Linked DNA regions of Arabidopsis thaliana. The protein of the gene in region 2 binds, or shares a complex with, the protein of the main gene of each other region. Each region holds a gene or a part of one and is shown on either strand. Other genes may lie near its edges.

Evidence for each region. The genes of interacting proteins can lie anywhere in the genome.
Region 1: AT1G31500 (region 2) and AT5G10960 share a complex: the UniProt entries of both Arabidopsis thaliana proteins name them as parts of the CCR4-NOT complex.
Region 3: AT1G31500 (region 2) and AT1G73875 share a complex: the UniProt entries of both Arabidopsis thaliana proteins name them as parts of the CCR4-NOT complex.

What each region holds. Positions count from the first base shown.
Region 1 is NC_003076.8:3,461,975-3,467,084, reverse strand, and holds AT5G10960 (Polynucleotidyl transferase, ribonuclease H-like superfamily protein), read right to left. Parts: upstream 2,988-5,110; 5' UTR 2,722-2,987; intron 2,608-2,721; 5' UTR 2,505-2,607; coding exon 1,671-2,504; 3' UTR 771-1,670; downstream 1-770. UniProt on the Arabidopsis thaliana protein: Ubiquitous transcription factor required for a diverse set of processes. It is a component of the CCR4 complex involved in the control of gene expression.
Region 2 is NC_003070.9:11,273,102-11,279,067, reverse strand, and holds AT1G31500 (DNAse I-like superfamily protein), read left to right. Parts: upstream 1-2,439; 5' UTR 2,440-2,533; coding exon 2,534-2,589; exon of another isoform or gene 2,590-2,593; intron 2,594-2,886; coding exon 2,887-3,151; intron 3,152-3,338; coding exon 3,339-3,388; intron 3,389-3,716; coding exon 3,717-3,786; intron 3,787-4,002; coding exon 4,003-4,127; intron 4,128-4,214; coding exon 4,215-4,327; intron 4,328-4,471; coding exon 4,472-4,607; intron 4,608-4,684; coding exon 4,685-4,832; coding exon of another isoform or gene 4,833-4,838; exon of another isoform or gene 4,839-4,941; coding exon 4,942-5,247; 3' UTR 5,248-5,466; downstream 5,467-5,966. Other genes in the region: AT1G31520 (uncharacterized protein), read left to right, coding at 1-85; AT1G31510 (F-box associated ubiquitination effector family protein), read right to left, coding at 606-787, 860-919, 964-1,651. UniProt on the Arabidopsis thaliana protein: Acts as a catalytic component of the CCR4-NOT core complex, which in the nucleus seems to be a general transcription factor, and in the cytoplasm the major mRNA deadenylase involved in mRNA turnover.
Region 3 is NC_003070.9:27,778,829-27,785,690, reverse strand, and holds AT1G73875 (DNAse I-like superfamily protein), read right to left. Parts: upstream 4,837-6,862; 5' UTR 4,580-4,836; coding exon 4,288-4,579; intron 4,150-4,287; coding exon 3,986-4,149; intron 3,913-3,985; coding exon 3,847-3,912; intron 3,774-3,846; coding exon 3,721-3,773; intron 3,380-3,720; coding exon 3,298-3,379; intron 3,073-3,297; coding exon 3,023-3,072; intron 2,904-3,022; coding exon 2,831-2,903; intron 2,606-2,830; coding exon 2,513-2,605; intron 2,428-2,512; coding exon 2,395-2,427; intron 2,274-2,394; coding exon 2,182-2,273; intron 1,950-2,181; coding exon 1,817-1,949; coding exon of another isoform or gene 1,733-1,816; exon of another isoform or gene 1,626-1,732; coding exon 1,540-1,625; intron 1,411-1,539; coding exon 1,326-1,410; intron 1,183-1,325; coding exon 1,120-1,182; 3' UTR 771-1,119; downstream 1-770. Other genes in the region: UGT89B1 (UDP-glucosyl transferase 89B1), read right to left, coding at 1-548; BBX16 (B-box type zinc finger protein with CCT domain-containing protein), read right to left, coding at 5,169-5,429, 5,560-6,477. UniProt on the Arabidopsis thaliana protein: Acts as a catalytic component of the CCR4-NOT core complex, which in the nucleus seems to be a general transcription factor, and in the cytoplasm the major mRNA deadenylase involved in mRNA turnover.

The DNA of each region.
Region 1 (5,110 bases), on a different chromosome or scaffold from region 2:
CAACAGAAAAAAAAACTAATAAAATAAAAGTGGGTGCTTGACAGCTTCTTTTGGATTCACAAGGATATGTATATCATAAGTTGATGAGTAATCGTTATAATTAGGGTTGGCACTGATATTTTGCTGGTCTCAACCAAATTGATAAACATACTATGTTTAGGCATACCAAATTTTCCTCAACGAGAACAAGTTCAAAAAAGACATATGGCAGCCACAAGATAATAATTAGACACTAATTAACTCAATTCATATCTGATATGTATATAAATAATTTTGATGCTATTTCGTCCGCACTGTGTTACACATTTTTATTTAAATATGTAACGTTTTTTTGGTTACCTAAAGCAAAGCAATAGCCAATAGTGGTCATTTGATAATAACTAAACCCTAAAACAACAAACATGCCCAAATCAGAATCCCAATTCAACCTTGGTAAAAACGTTCTCCCACCTCTGATCAAAGCCCACACAACAAAGGCCCAAATCAGAATCCCAATTCCCAACACACAAACACACGTGAAGAGACTCAGAGAAGCCGTTAAAGACAGGACTAGCAAGTACACTGTTTCTTCTGTAATAAGAAGTAGATTTGATTCTCTGCCACACCTACATAATAGTGACTCGGACTTTTGCCGTATTGCTGTTGTTTTCTTCTTTTTACTTTATTTCTCGTGTCGTGTTGCTATTGGATCATATGTTTTCGATCATCAAACAAGTTCGTGTAATGAAATATTTAAGGTTTTGAGAAACTTAGATTTAATTATCTTGATGGAAACTGAGTTCATACACAAATCCACATTTTGACATAATACTTCCAACAGGCTGATACTTTTTTTTTTTTCTTCGGCAATTGAATGAGCTACGACGTCTCAATCAGTCAAATCTCGTAATCTTCTGTACCACTTGCGACTCAGATGACGTCTGAATACTTGCCCAACAAAACATTGATTGCATTAGAATGCTACTCATTGACAATATGATAATAAATTGGCTATTGAGGTGATTGGCGAATGCAACAGCATACATATGTGATTCTCCTCCACATTAACCATGACATGATACCACTTACATCATAAACACCTAAATAACAAATCTATACATCAATCGATTACCATAGCTCTGTTTTTTAAACAATGTAACACATATAACCTCTAGCATAAGCAGTTCATTGTTCTCCTTATCAACTTGTATCAACGAAGAGGGAAAGAAGAACACAGGAAGATTCAACATTCTCTTAAGCATAAAACTTACCAGTTTGCATCTTCAAACTGGTATGGTTACAAAGAATTACACAGTAACTGCAAGCTGAGACATGCAAACGCTACTACAAGAAGCCACTGTCAAGTTACATTGGTCACTAGTAAGAAGAAAACACACACAAAAAGAAAAGAGAAGAAAAATTAAAATTGGAGATTATTTATTAAATAAACGGGTAGCTGAATTGATATACATTCAGAAACTCAAGCTAAAACAAAAACCCCTCAAATTTTGATCACAAGGGGTTTTCCTGAAAACAAAGCAACAAAGACACAACAAGTCACTTACTAACACCAATTTGCCAATTTACACAACGACGATTCTATTTTGGTCTTCTCACACTCACAAAGACTAAAGAAATATATCTAATCGCACTTCCCTGGAATTTTCAAAGTATCTTTCATTCCTTTCTTCTTAATTAGCAACAGTAGTAGTAGTACCATCTTCCACACCTAGACCATACAAGACTCCAGTGTATTTCTCAGTTGATCCCGGGAAATAACGTTCCTTGAGCTTCCTAAACGACCCTAAGGTGAGCAAGCTATCCGACCCAGCTTGATGACAAATCCCAACTCTCTCCACTCCCATAAGCTCCGCAAGTCTGTTCAATCCACCAAACAGTCCGTTGCAGAACGTCATCAAGTGCTTGATATCGTAAACCGTAGGGAAATACACATACAGAAGCTTGAAGAAATCAGCTTGCTTGAGAGGCAATTCCTTACAAGTCAACAACTTAACCAAATACCCGAAATCATATCCACCATGGAACGTAACCCACGAGATAGCATCGTTCAAAACAATCCCAGACGACATCATAAGCTCACCAAACCTAACCACATCAATACCTTTCTCAATGTTCTTCTTGAAATCAATCCCACACTGACGCAACAGCTCAATAGACTCACTCGCGTAGATATCCTCACCGATGTTGAACTCACGGAAATTGAATTGCCAGATGCAGAACTTATCCGTCCCACAAGTCGGAAGATTCCCATTCTCATCAGAAAAAGTTAACCCAACTTGAATCAATTTCAACAAATCGACATTTTCCTTGAGAGTCCTGTAGTTAAGATCGTTATTGTACTTGAAAGTAGCAACAGGCTTCAAAACCACACCTGGAAACTCAGTATCCATAGCGATATAGCTGAATTTGTCAACAATCTCACGGATCAACGCGAATTCTTCAACCAAATTGTAATCCCAAACCTCTCGAATCATAATCGAATCTTCTTTCAAAGTCTCCGCCATTTCTAGATATACAACAAACCCAGATCTGAAAACAAAGCATACGTCGGAACTCGGAAATACTGCGAAACTCGTATCGGTAGATCTGTAAACGAAACCTTCCGATCTGAGGAAGAGGCAACAACACCAGGAAAATCAGAAATCGATGTAACAAAAAGCAAACCCTAGCTGTGAAACGAAAATCGAAATGAAACGGAGAGACATGAAAGTATGAAATTACCAGAGGTTTCGCAATACAGATGTAAGAAAAGGAACAGATCTAGCAGATTCGAAGAGAGATCTGTGCGTCTGCGAGAGAGAAATTATCGGGTCAACCAGAGAGAGAGGTTTCAAGTGGTATGGCTTTGGAGAAGATGAAGTGATAAATAAAGACAAGTGTGAGCCTTGAAACGAAGCCGTTTTGTTTGACGATGAAAAGCTTATACGACGACGTTTTGCCGTGCGTCTTCTTACATCAATCATTACGTTTTGGCCAGTTACCAATTATTTTATCCGTATTGTCCGTTTTCTAATTATTTTAATGATGCGAATTGTGTGATATGATGACCAATTTTTATTTATGTGTATCACGGAAATTCCGTTCGTTTGTAACTTCCATGATCTTTTTTTTTTCTTTTGCTTTGTAGACCTACCTCCATTATTCTTAAATTTTATGTATTTTATAGCATTTGGTACTAGAGTTAAATTGTTATACCTTATTATGACGATCGAACTTTATAGTTATAGGAAAAGTTGTATAAACTAAACTGCATTTTGATTTTTGTACAAGTCTAAATTTATATGGTTAAGAAACAGATTGTGCTAATAAACAATCAAAATTATTTATTTTTGCTATGGAGCTAGTCAGCTAGATGATTTGAAGAACCTTAAAACTTCTTTTTCTTACAATTTTAACTCAGTTTTATATCATTTGGTAATAATATTCCTACGGATTGTCTCGCAATTTTATATCACATTTTAATAATTTCTGTACTGATTATCTCACAAAATTGAAAGAATATCAATTTTTTTTTTTGTCGAAAATTTGAAAGAACATAATATTTGATTATTTTCCAGGTAAACTCTTTTATTTCTGTTTTTTTTTCTTCTATGTAAACTCTTCAATTTCGGATTTGTTTCCTATGTAGTTCTGCCAATTAATTGAAAATATGGTATCTTGTTTTTTTTCAACTCAAAAAAAGGATTTTAGATTTATGTTATCTTGTTATTAAGAAGGATTTGTTAGCATAATTGTTAAACAAAACAAAGTAATTTTAATTATAATAGAATTGACTTTGGGATTTCTACCTTACAAGTTACAAGTGGCCAATATTAATGCAATCATACAACGAATGGGAAGACGTTTGATAGAGATACATGCATCACTTGTTACAATCATCTTCGTTCATGAATAGAATCATTTTAGATTTATTTATTTTAGAAAAAAACTTTCAAGTTTCACCAGCGTAATCAGTTTTTCTTCTTAAAATTATTACATGAAAAGATTCTCCAACTCAAACGAGGACCAAAGTTCTTTTTTTTTTTACAAAAAAAGACAACTATTAGGAAGAAAGGGGATAAAGGAATTTTAATTCTAATTATTATTACGGAGTCAAGGCATCATCGTGCTTCCCACTTACCCTCAAGCATAATCCATTGTTTTGTAATAATTAATTCGTTTTTATATAAACTAATGTATTAGCTTGTTTTATATCAAATAATTGTGTACCTTTTTCTATAAATTAAAAAAAATAAACAAGTAATGTCAAGTCACGAAATATTAGATGGTGGTTTCATCATCCGACCATTTTTAGGAAATTTCTTCTGGAATCCAACACATACCAAACATGAAAGTTTCTGCATAATTGTTCTTATATATATAACAAAATTTACTTAATTGTTACCCTCCAAAAATATGTCTCACCGTGTAATTGCTTGCTCATCTAAAATCTAAATAGAATTCTATATTTAAAATCAAAATCGAAAAAAACGAAAATAGAAACTAAAATTGAAATTTTTGTTACTTAAATTAGAAAGAATTATTTAAACAGTTGCATGTATTTAACGTAGATAAATTCTTTAATATCACGTGCACATATAATTTAGATTAGGTAAATCATCTAGTACCAAATATTTGTTTAATTTTATGGGTTTTGGATTGTTTAGAGATGTTTAGATCGTTCCTACAAATGTTCGAACAGCTTGATAAAACAAATGTCATATTCTACATGAACTCTAGGTAACATTTCGATATGATCTATTATAAGATACACTTAAAGATAAGAAGGCTCATAGCTGTTAAGTTACTAAACGTTAAGTTCACTCGTAAAAACGAGTATTTAGTTCTTGATCACGTTTCAGAGAAAATAATCTTATTAGAAAACCATTAAAAACCAAGACCGTAAATCTGAAGATATATCGTTCATAATAATATGACCATATTTTCTATCATTTTATTTTGGACCAACTCCGGTGATCTAATATTAATTTGAGGATCATCATCTAGTCATCGTAAAGCACTATACTAGGATAAATATCTTTTCCTCTAACTTGATAACACTGGATATTGAAGGTCCAATTACTGGCAGAAAACATTAATAGGTAAATAACAACTGGCTAAAGATAAAAAA
Region 2 (5,966 bases):
TCCCATTGTTTACGCTCACCTCGCCATTCTCCGAGTAAACGCCGGAGACCTCACTAGCAGTGATACATGGCGTTTATATATGTAGAAGTTATAATTCAGATGGTTTCTTAAGATAAGAGAAAAGCACTTTTCATCTATGAAACAACTCTTTTTAAACAACATTCCTTCCCTTGTATTTTTTTTTGTTAAAGATTCTTCTCTTGTATTTTCCCATACTTATTCAAAATCTCTCCAAAATATTAATGTAGAGTTTACTTTTTGTCATATCCAGAAATAACTATACCAAGTAAATAAGTAGAATATATGACGAGAACGTATACAATTTATGCAATAAAGAGATTAAGCTTGGGGAATAAGGAACCACGGATGCATAAAGACCTCGAATATCAAATCATGATCTTATATTACGAGACACCGAAAGCGAGTGATCATTTGCTCATTGGCATTGAGTTCAGATCCGCCGAAGCAATAATATGAACATAGAAATAATCAAAATAAAAAACCATATTTGTATGCATAAATATTGTTTCCCACTTTTTTCGAACCAGATTCAAACTCTTATGAAGTTATCCCACTATGTTTATAGAGTTCGAAAGTAAAGACCATTATAAACATGAAAGAAGATAACCATTTAACTCGTAGCAATGGATCGGAGCACGCTTATTCTTCTTCCTCTTAATTACCTCGAAAAGCCTGGAACCGGAAGTAAGCTTGGGACATATATAGTAGCAACCAGGACCACCAATTGAAGACTCCATAGAAGAGTAACATTCAACTTTCGGGCATTCTTATGTCTCTCCCACAACGTAGATGCTAATTGACCTAGTTACAAAGTGACGAATATATAGCAGAATCTTACCATTGTTCTCAATGAAGTGACTTGGATATATTGGAAACTTGGGAAGTTGAGCTATAGAAACTGTCATTAACCTACTCCAATGCTTCTTCATCAGTATATCTTACCTGCTAAGTGCGGTTCACGTAACAAAGAAAGATGATCTCCACGGAAAATCCCTAAAGAAAGAGAATCTTTCCACTGGATCCCGATGGATGAGTGATGAAGAGACTCGAACAAGGTCTCAAATCTCTCTTTTGAGAAATCGAAACTTTGTATCGAAACGGTACCGTAGATATTATAACCTATCCAATAAGGAGTTCCTCCTATACACACACTTGACAATGGTAGTCGAAAGAACCCATGGAAGGTTTTATCAACAACAACAACCTTCCAACAATCAGATTTGAAATCGTAGATTTCAACACTTAAATTATTAGGACACCGAAACCTAACCATTTTGTAATCATTACAACCACTTGGTGACTCGTTACTAATGTATCCAAGACCATATGCATCGATGGAATGGTCAAACTCAAAGCTATAGCCACATTTGATCCATCTTGCTTCTTTCAACAACGGATTGGAAACTAAAATTTTGGTTCCCATGACCATTAGCAATAGACCATCACAATGAAACATGTTGTGCTCCAATAAATCCGAAGATGAAAGCGGTTTAAAAACCTGAAAATTTAAACTAGGTTTGTTGTTGAAATCCATACCGATACAAGAAATTGTTGAGCACAATGGAGAAACTGTGGCCGGAACGTAATTGAAGACTGTGAATATCGGTTCAAGACCATGCATGTGAGACATGTGCTTGTTGACGAATATCGGTTCTGTGATTAGTGTTTTCCATTGCTTGCATGTCCTCTACCAAATTAGTTTGTAGTATGTCCTTTACCAAATTAGTTTGTAGTATTATATTTGGGTTTGTTATTTTCAATTTAGGGTATATATTTTTATTATTAAAAACTTTTTTGATTCAATTTAATATTAGATTAATGTTTGCTCTCATTTTTATTTGGGGGATTGATACAAATAGTAATAAAAAAAACTTTATTATTTAATTAATTTATAGAGGATTAAAAATTTTATATGCTATTTTGGAAATTTCAAAAAAAAGGTGTCATTTTTTGGAATAATAAAGTTTTTTAGTGTCATTTACGTCAATCCCCTTGTTATATTAATATTGGTGTGAAGCTTTTTGGGAAATATATCTATAATTTCTCATCTTATAAAGTTTTATGCTCAAGTGAGTGTTAGTATGGAAATTTTTAATTCGCAATAGTGTATATTGGTCCGTAATGGTGAATTAGTTAAATATCGATTAATTAGATTTTAGTCTGGTACACAACCATTTATAGACTAAATATCTGACAGTAAATGATTTAGAAACTCATACTAACTTATATAGTTATATATATAGGTGCTTTGGGAATTTTTGAAAATTTTGGGTTTTGGATTTTGACGTTGATTTCGATTGGATTTTTATTTGTTGGAAAGTAAATGAACCTACTAATGACCTATTTTTGGTTCTAAAGTTCCAATAAATAAAATGAAGGCTCACTAACTACTTTAATATAAAGACAGGGAGCAAATGATAATTATCGAATTCTTCACTATTTTATTTGAAAACCCACAAGAGTTTCTTCAATCTAAAGCCAAATTGGGTTAAGTCAATTGTTGTCACTATAGATGTTTAGTTCTACAACTCTGCATCATCTTCCTCGTCCGAATCTTCTTCTTCCCAGGTGGGTTTCTTCGTTTCTGTATCAATCAATATACAGTTTCATTTTCTGTAATCTCAAGTTTCGTATTTAGTAATGCAACTAAATTGATCGTCTCTGTTCATTGTCATTGGGCAATTTCGTTGAGGAATACAATTTGTTTAGAAATTTCTCATCTTTATATTGGAACCAATCCTCTAGAATCTCGAATTTATCTGGGCTGTAATTGAAATTTTATGGGGAATTAAATCAGCTTCTTAATTTTGACCTAAATATTGATGTTCAAGGATTGTTTTTTTTCCTGACCCTTTGATTCAACAGCTCTCGTGTCTGCAGGAAAGTTATTTCGAGAAGAATGAGTACGAATCCTGCAATTGAACCAAAAGTTCGCAAATTTGAATCTGTTGAAGGAGTTGATATTGGTTCAAGAAATAAATCCGATGGTTTTTTTGCTATTCCTCTTTACTTATCAAAGCTTGTGGCTTTATATAACTGTATAAGTTTAAGTAGAATTGGTACTAGTAATGAGAATTTTGTGTTTTCAGGTATCAGATTCCGTCTTGTTTCATATAACATATTAGCTCAGGTAAGAAATAATCAAGCTTTTTAATCTCTCATATGCTTTGTGATATTTTGTAGCTTAATATTTGGACGAATTTTGTAGTTTTAAACGATCTTACGAATTTCTGAGCTTGATTTATAGATACAGACAGTTCTTTTAGCTCTTTCCTTTGTTGAGTTTCTTATCTATTTGAGCTTTATATTTCTTGTAGGTTTATGTGAAGAGTGCACTTCTCCCACACTCTCCACCTGCCTGTCTCAAGTAATTATTTTTCTCTACATTTCTCAGTTTCGAGATCAAATTTACTTATACTAGTCAAGAGTTCTTTCTGTGAGTTGTGTAATCAATGGCCTGGAGTATAGTCAAGATTTGCTTCAGAAAACAACAATGGATTCTATGAATGTTTAGGAACTTAGCTATAAGCAGGCAATATTGTGTTTGGTCTTACCCACGTTAATTATCCATTACCCAATATGTACTTTGGATTTAGCGATATATTAACTTTGTTAAAATATTAGGGAATGGTGCTTCTTAAAGGGTTATGGTTTTGTAGTAAATGTGACTTGGTCTTCCTTTTCTTGTGTTGCAGATGGAAAGCTCGTTCACATGCAATTCTCAGCGTTCTCAAAAATCTCCAGGCTGATTTCTTTTGTCTGCAGGTACTTTATTCTTGTGAAAACTTCTTCTTTTGTGTTTAGGTAGTATTGAGATACCCTTTTCGTATGAAACACAAAATTCATTCTTCTCTTTTGTTCAATCCATTAGACAAGCTCAGGCCTGTAAAAATGTTAGTGTTGTTTGTTCATAGGGCCTTTGAATTGTGTTTAACAAAAGGGTGTCTCCACTTGTTAGTTATATAGTTGCAATGCTCGCAGGAAGTAGATGAGTACGATAGCTTTTACAGAAATAACATGGACTCTCTGGGATATTCTGGGATTTATATTCAGAGAACCGGCCAGAGGAAGCGTGATGGTTGTGCAATCTTCTACAAGCCAAGCTGGTATGATAAAAACATTAAGCCTGACAAGACGTTAACTTAATGCAAAAACATCAATCTGATTGAAACAACACTCTTCTTTTGATTTAGTGCAGAGTTAGTCACAAAGGAACGGATCGAATATAATGATCTTGTGGACTCAATAAAAGCAGATAGTGTTTCCTGCAGCGAACAGAAGATTGAGACATCCAACGAAGGAAAAGGTGATGAGAAAGCGAAAGATAAATTTGTCCTTTTGGAGGAAAAGAAAGCAAATACTTTGTGCTGTTTCTTTATATCTCAACATCATTACTAACTTTTATCTATGTTCTCTTCACATGTTTCCACAAATCTGCCCCAAACAAAAGATTCTCGAAAAGACAGTCGTGACCTTAATGATCCACTAGTGAGACTAAAACGTGATTGCGTTGGAATAATGGCTGCTTTTAGGATCAACAAGCCGTTTCAGCATATCGTTATCGTGGCAAACACACATCTTTACTGGTAAAAATACTTGTCACCGATTGAAGATTATCTTTTACCACCCTTTAAACTTTCATCTCATGTTTACTTATCTCTAGGGACCCTGAATTGGCTGATGTCAAGCTTGCTCAAGCCAAGTATCTACTGTCACGACTAGCTCAGTTCAAAACACTAATATCAGATGAATTTGAGTGCACACCTTCATTGCTACTAGCTGGCGACTTCAATTCAATTCCTGGGGATATGGTTTGATTCAGTTTCTTACATTGAGTTTCCCTAATTGTTCAATCTATTTGCAAAATCAAAAGATTGGGTTTACGGTGGTAAAATCCTGATACTTGTCGTCGTTTTCCAGGTTTATAGTTACCTAGTATCGGGTAATGCTAAACCCACAGAGACCATAGAAGAAGAAGAAGCTCCAGTTCCTCTGTCTAGTGTCTATGAAGTCACAAGAGGAGAGCCTAAGTTCACAAATTGCACTCCTGGCTTCACAAACACACTTGACTACATCTTCATCTCTCCTTCAGACTTCATTAAACCTGTGAGTATCCTTCAACTACCTGAGCCGGATTCTCCAGATGTTGTCGGTTTCTTACCGAATCATCATCACCCGAGTGATCATTTACCTATAGGAGCTGAGTTTGAGATTCGTCGGGAATAGGAAGTTTCGTTCTTTAGAAAGTTTTGTCGCATAACTCCATTGTTTCAGCATTTGAATATGGTTCTTGTAGAAATCATGAAGCAGTGAATCATACACACACAACACAAAGTATTAAAGGACTTGGATCATTTTTGTCTCAATAAACTCGAAATTTTCGTTGTGTGCATTGAATTACTGAGAATATTTGAATTTTCTTGAGAAGAAATTGTTTAATGTGTCTTGTTTATTGCACTCATAAAATAACATAAGAATTGGTTCTATTATTCTGTAGTCAACTAGACAAAAACAATAGAAGATTTAGTGAAATGACATGTTAATATCATATGATGATCTCGTTTCAATTTGTTGAATAAAGTTGCAACAAAATTAGGTCAAGCATTGATCTGTTTTATCTATCAACCACTAAAGTTTGTACTATCGCACCAACTTATAATAATAAATCATAATTTTGAGTACGAACGAATATTCTTTTACAGTCTCACCTTTCACCGATAATTTGAACCATTGTTATTGAATAAAGTCGTACTCTTCAAACTTTTATCCAAAATGACAGTGATGTAATGTTATGTTCCAAAAACATAAGATTTTTTCAAAACGGATAGTGATCATTCCTTTGAATATATAATCACAAACAACCGAACAAAAATATTATATTTTCTATGCTTATTATATGTTCTTATAAATAAATATCATTTAGCATAAGCTTCCCTTGAGAACCT
Region 3 (6,862 bases), about 17 Mb from region 2:
GGACAATTCGGGATCTTGGGAAAGTGGAGGATCTCGTTATCGTCATCTTCGTTGATCTTGGTGGGCATTTCGATCCAGAGAGTATTGAGTATGCAGCAAGTGATAGCAGCGGAGGGAGAGAAATCGAAACGAGGGATTCCGAGGTTTTTGGTCCAACCAAGGAAGAAATCAGATACGATGGCTACTGGAGGAGAAGGGTGAGAAGTAATCCAAGAGATAAGCGGCGCGTGGAGATTACCAAGCGCGTGGATCATTAAAGGGAAGCCTGAAGGAGGTAAGTCTTGGACGTTTTCGACGCCGGAGGGGATTGAAGGGTGGGAGGGAAAAGGGAGGATAAGTGGTTCGATGTTAACTACGGCGGAGAGAAGCGGAGAGAGAAAAGGAAGGTTTTTTGGAGTGACTAGGACGGTTATTTTTAAGGCGGCGCCGCCGCGGAGAGCAAGGCGGTGGGTGAAGTCGAGGAGGGGAATCATGTGACCTTGCGCCGGAAATGGGAAGATTAAGACATGGGTCTTTGTCGGCTTGTTGTTTTCCTCGTTCACTTTCATAATGAGCTTTTCTAGTGGGACTTTTTTTTGTTTATGCCGGAATGTTTTGGTGGAGCAAAGAGAAAAGAGTGATTTAAATAGATGTGTGTTAACTGTAAATGGCCGATTTGTGTACCCAATGTATTCCCAACACTTGGAAAGAATGCTTACGACACTTTTGATAATACCGTGTGGTATTTTGATTAATGCAGCGTCAGATGACACTTGAGAAGAGCTTATTTTGGAGTGAACAGATTGAGATACTTTTTACGCAACGTCTCTTACATTGTTTTGCTTCTAGTAGCAAAATGGGTCTTCGCTCCTCATAGGTACACGTCCAGTAACATGCTATTTTGGTATTAACTTTTTAAAAGCAGAAAGAGTAGGTGCAAGTCTTGGGTAGGTAAGGTAAAAAAAAATGTTTCAAGTAAGCAAATCTATGTATGGGAATGAGCCCAAAACTTGTTTATGTTTTACAATTTACTGAATCTGTTTCCGAACTCCAATTCAGAAGCCTCGATGAGCATTCAAAAACCTCAAGGGATGGCCAAGTCAGGTGGCTCGGTTTAGTGGTTGGTGCTAACATTTTGGCTCATTGCCAGTCATTGACAAAGCCGAGTTCACATGCGATAGCGAGATGGTCGCTTCCCCAATTCTGCAAATTTTCATTGGTCAGAGACTTGTATGCAACTCTTCCAATAATCCCAGTTTTTACATTCTTGAAAAAATGAATAGAGTAACTCGAGAAAGTAAAGGGTTGCCCCAGAAAAAAAGTTTAGCCTAGAAAAAAAAACTTACCTCACTAGGTAGTCCACCTGTTCTTCTCAATACATCTGCTGGCAAGGTCTCAAGAACCCTCACAGGAACGAGTTCCTTGGTATGCCTGGGTTCAAAACCTCAGATTAATTATTGAGATTTCAAAATTACATGTGCATATATCACAACATTGATAGCCATATATAATTGAAAGCTCTGATTAATGATTCGGATTTCATAAGCACAACAGACTTACCATATATAATCAACAGTTCCAAGGAACCTGGAATGATACGTTGTTGCCAATGGTTCACCGCGTTGATCTCTAGTTCTATATGTACCCTGCAAGATCTCAGGTCTTAGCATACTAGAAGGATATATAACATCATACAACATGCTACTTTCCCTAAACGTTTTTCAGTATCTAGTATAAAAGAAAGCCACAGTTCCTAAGAACTTAGTTTTCCTGTAAGGCAGATTTCAACTCTTTTCGATGCGTCCACCAGTCGAGAACAAGAAACAAAAACACTTACAGGAACTCCACTATATGCGCTGTTAAGCTTCAGTTGATGTTGGACATGAGTGGTTTCTTGACCACCAGTTGCAAGCTGTAATTCTTCCTGGCTCCACTCATTGAGTAGTGATCCGGAGATGGATGCTGAAGCACTGACGAAAGAGGGAGTTGTTTAGTTAGACTAAATTGAGATAGAAACTTCATCTGAGGATTACGTAGTTGATTAAGCGCAGGCCAAAGAAAAATATAAGTAATCTATCACTCTATCAGTTCATCAGGTAAACAGAAGAGATATAAGCAATCTATCCGTTCATCAGGTAGGCAGAAAAGGAATATGGATACATTATTTAGAGAAACCAAAGACCCCGGTGAATTACAAGCTACCTAAATGCATAATGGTTTCTGAATGACCTCTCCTTTGGTTCCACTTCAGTCTGGCCAGAAATTTGCCTGCGATCGTGAAGTTGTGTATCCAACTGTCCAAAATTAAAAAAGGAATATAAAGAGTTCATTCTAACTTTCCCAGTAAAGAAAGGAAAAAAATTATGACCAGGCGAAATGTAAAAGAAAGAGTCCAGAACCCTCAATGGAACTCACATCAGCTGAAGCTATGAAATCATAGATTGCACTCTGTACAGCAAATCCAGAGTAAGTTTTAGAATTCAGCTAAAAAATAAGTATTAGAACAAAAAAAACAAAAGTTGGTAGAGATCACCTGTGGAGTGCTATTCAGATCACCTGCAATCGCCACAGGAATATTTCCCCATTCCTGTGATAGCTTGTAAGCCTTCTCCAGAAAGAGTCTTACCTATAAGTTATGACATATCAAATATCAAGAAATGAGCGAGCTACTTAGAATTTCAATGAAGTTTCAATACTGACAGGCATTGATGTACTGATGAATACCATAAAATAGTACTAGCTAAAAAATTGACATTTCTAAACTCAGGATGTGTAGTGACAGAAATGCTCTACCGATTTTATGGATAAGCCAGTTTTTATCAGAATTTTGTAAGGATCTAGCAAGACATACCTGGCCAAGCTTGATATCCCCACGCTTAGGATTGAATAGGACATGTATATTCCCAACCACTAGCCTTCGAGGACTAGTAGAAGTTTGCATAAATCAACCAAACATGGAAGTGCGCATAAAATTTAGTAAGGATCTTAAAAGTAAGTTCAATATTCACTCCAGTAAAGGAATCAGAACAGAACTCAGACATACTCTGATGATCGCACCCGTAATTTAGACTTTGGGTCCTCCTCACAGTTCATCTGTTCCGTAATAGACAATCAAGTAAATTAATTAATTGCAAGGGCTGAAACTAAGAAAATTAAGCAATTAGCCTGCAAAGCTGAAAACACAACAGGAGGGAAAAATATATAAAATAATGCCCACAATTAAGCTTGTCATATCTCTGTGCTTCTAGAATCAAGAAAAGACAGAGGAGAAAAGAGGGGGAAGACGACAATACAGAAATAACTTAAAACGGTGCATACCTCTAAAACACAAAGTTGAGCAACATTGTTTCGCATACCAAATTTATCAAACTCTATATGTTGATGGTCTAGAAGTTCAAATCTGCATTCACAGCAGAAATATAACATAAATGATGAAACTAGTAGAGTAAGAGTCTAATACAAAATAAATAACATCGAGAACAATAGAAAGCAAAGCTTTCAGCCTTGAACAATATATTGTGAAGCCAAGGTCAAAGCTGATAACATAACACAACGTGAACCTACCATTAACAATTTCGAAACATTCAAAACAGATAACTAGAAGATCTAATTTATCTCGTTCCAAAAGAGAGATATTCCCTGTAGACAATTCAAATGGCTAGATTCCTGATCCTGACTCCAGCATATAGAGACTTCCCACCACATTAAAAATGATCCTAAATAGAAAAAAACTGAACTTACAGATTCTCTTTCCAAAATATAGCACAACCATCACTCGCTTCTCCAGTCCGACTCTAAAAAATACTAAATGTATGAAAAAGGCACCATTGCATACAAGGTAATAAAGCTTTTGACTCGTATATATACCTTGTGAACACCTCGAAATCCTCTATTTTTAAGAAGAACATCTAAATCATCAAAGCGGTCAACCTCCTGCAATAAATTTGGACATGAGAATGCAATGAAACTTAAATAGTGTAGATCTAGGCAATCCCCTGGAACTTGCCTGAAGACATAAGATGCTTGCATTGTAACGACTAATCTCCTTGCATATGAGATGTTTCCGTCTACTCCACTCTAAGTGCTTCCGCGGAACATTGTAATACAAGTCCATGTGGTTCGACGCATTGTCAACACCAAGTAGATTGTACGAAACTAATACTAATTTATCTGAAGAATTGAAAAGGAGATATCAAGTTTTTCATACACATAAGATAAAAATGTGTTCAAAGTACGGAATGTGATACTTCGTGAAGCTAATAAAAGCATATAAGTGCATTATTCAGTGTGATTGCAATGCACACAGACCTGCTAGATTTTCAAAATTGTTTGCGGAAAACACCCATTCGCGCTCAACGGAACTCGAGATCTTCTCCTTAGTTCTCCGTCGCCGGCGGAGAGAAGACTTACTATGTCTGACAGGTTTACAATCACGCTGGCTGAATCCCGGCGTAAAAGAACGGTGAGGTTTTAAGGTTATTGACTCCTTCCTATTCGATTTCTCGTATACGTTCTCCGATTGTTCCGAAATCGAGTTACGCTTCCGCTTGGTGATGGTGATTGAGTTCGCCGTCGTGTTCTTACGCTCGTATCCGCTCATGTCAATCGTAGCAAGTCGGCGGCGCGTGAGCTATGCGTCAACCTTGTGAAGTTAACCAAATTCAGTCGGTTGAAATTCACGATTTTTACTGGTTAACGATTAAAATACGTACTTGATAACCCAAACCGGTTGGCTTAAGTAGTTGCCTAGTTGGGCTCTTTATGTTGGTTTTTTTAATTGTGTGATGGGCTATTCAGCCATAACTAGGCCTTAATGGCTTTTATTTCTTGCTTCATTTGTAAATTGTTGGAAATGGCATGTTCTAATTTGAACTTGTTTCTTGTTTTTTTTTTGTTTTTTTTAATTACACTTGTTTTCTTTGTAACATGTCTTCGCTACGAATTTTTTAGTGTTCGTTATTATCACACATTATGGCTTTTTTCTCCAATTCATTTGATAAACAAAGAGTTTTCATTTGATATATACAATAAATTACTCAATCAATCAATCTATAAAATCATAGTTGCCGGCTACAAGTCTACACAACCATCGGCCCCAAGAGTTTCAGTTCATTATTCAGTACATTACGACAATTACTTCAAAGGTCTTAATTACAAGATCTTTAAAGTGTTGATTAAAGTAAATCAAATCACGTCAAAAGTGACGTCCTCTTCACGAAACGACCTTTGATTCGAGGTCTCTGCTCAGCGTTAAGTTTCCGAACCTCATATCTTATTTTCTTTGAGAACAACCTCGTCCTCCGCTTCTCCTTGTACCTCAAAACCCTCGCCTCTCTCTCCCCGTCCGATCCTCCTCCGTCTCTCCCTTGCTGACGTGTCACCGATCCGTCGCTCGACATCAATTTCTCGTACCCACCCACAACATGAGGCAGACACGTGTTCCCTCCCAACTGGATCAGTGAACTTTATAACGTTATTTCGTCTTTTATAATCAATATATATCAGCTCAAAGTCAACGGAACTCGACACTACTAAAGACTAACATAGAGATGAGAGATATAGCTAGAGACACCAACTTACCATGCACTCCGGTTTGATTCCGGTTTTCCACGGCGAACCGTGATTATCCCAAGCACTAATCACAGCTCCATAATCTAATCTCAGAAACAAACTTGTCTTTCTATCTTTATCATTTGATGCTTCTCTATCACTATCCTTTGATCCTCCATTTTCACACTTGGCTTCTTCTTCTTCTTCATCTTCATCTTTCACCCTCTTCAAATCCTTACAATTAATCTCAAACCCTACTTTATTCTCTTCTTTGATGACTCCAACATCGTTTGGTTCCTTGAATCCCAAGCAAAGTTGTTCTTCCTCAAGTAAACTCTCCACGTCCATAGTGAGATCCTCAAGATCCATATCCAATGGCACGAACCCCATAAAACCTTCATCGTCCATGATTGCCTTCTCGACTTCTCCTAATTCTCCATTAGTAGTAGTGTTATTGACTTCATCAGGAACTAAGCAAAAGCCGTTTATATCATCAATCAGCATGTCTGAGAAAGGATCGAAAACAGGCACGCAACAATTCAGACTCTCCTCGGTTTCTTCTACGGAGGAGAACGAGAAAAAGCCATCATCTTCGTCTCCACCAAGCTCCGGAACAAGAGGATCGTTTGACTCGATTTGCAACAACTTCTCAAACGCACAACTCTTGCTCCTAGGCGTTCTCGCCTTTCTCCTGAATCCTTCGTACCATACCGACGTCGTTTTGTCTGCCGTCTCCGTCGGCGAAGATGATTGTAACCGGACACGTTCGTGCCGTTTCGCTAAATGGTTAGCCGAGTGGATCGAGGCGTCGCAGCTTTGGCATAGGAAAGCGTCATCGGCTGGACAGTACCAACTAGCACGTGATCTCTTCATGCACGCATCACAGCCACGCGCCGCCATCTTCTCTCCTGTCACGCTCGCGGTTCGGCTCTCTACATCGACCACCATTGTGTGTGTATATTACACAGTGAGAGAGTTGCTGAGATGGAGAGAGAGGCCTTGAGAAGAACAAAATACTGTAATATATATGGTTTTGCAACGAATTCACTAGTGTGTGTGGCGTCTCGATTTCCCGGCAGTATTTTTCATTTTTTTCAGAATTATTATTTTTTCATTACCTTGTGTGGTCTAAATTATTTGGAGTGGAGATAGAAATATAAATAAAAACTCATAATTCTATTCATAGTTTATTATGTACGTGTACATGGTATTTTAGAATGAGGACTTTTCACGAGTTTTTTACTTCAAATTTACAATTTTTGTTTTCATTATATTACGTACTTTCAAATAAATGTTTAGAACCATATACTTTTTTTTTGAAAAATTAGAACCA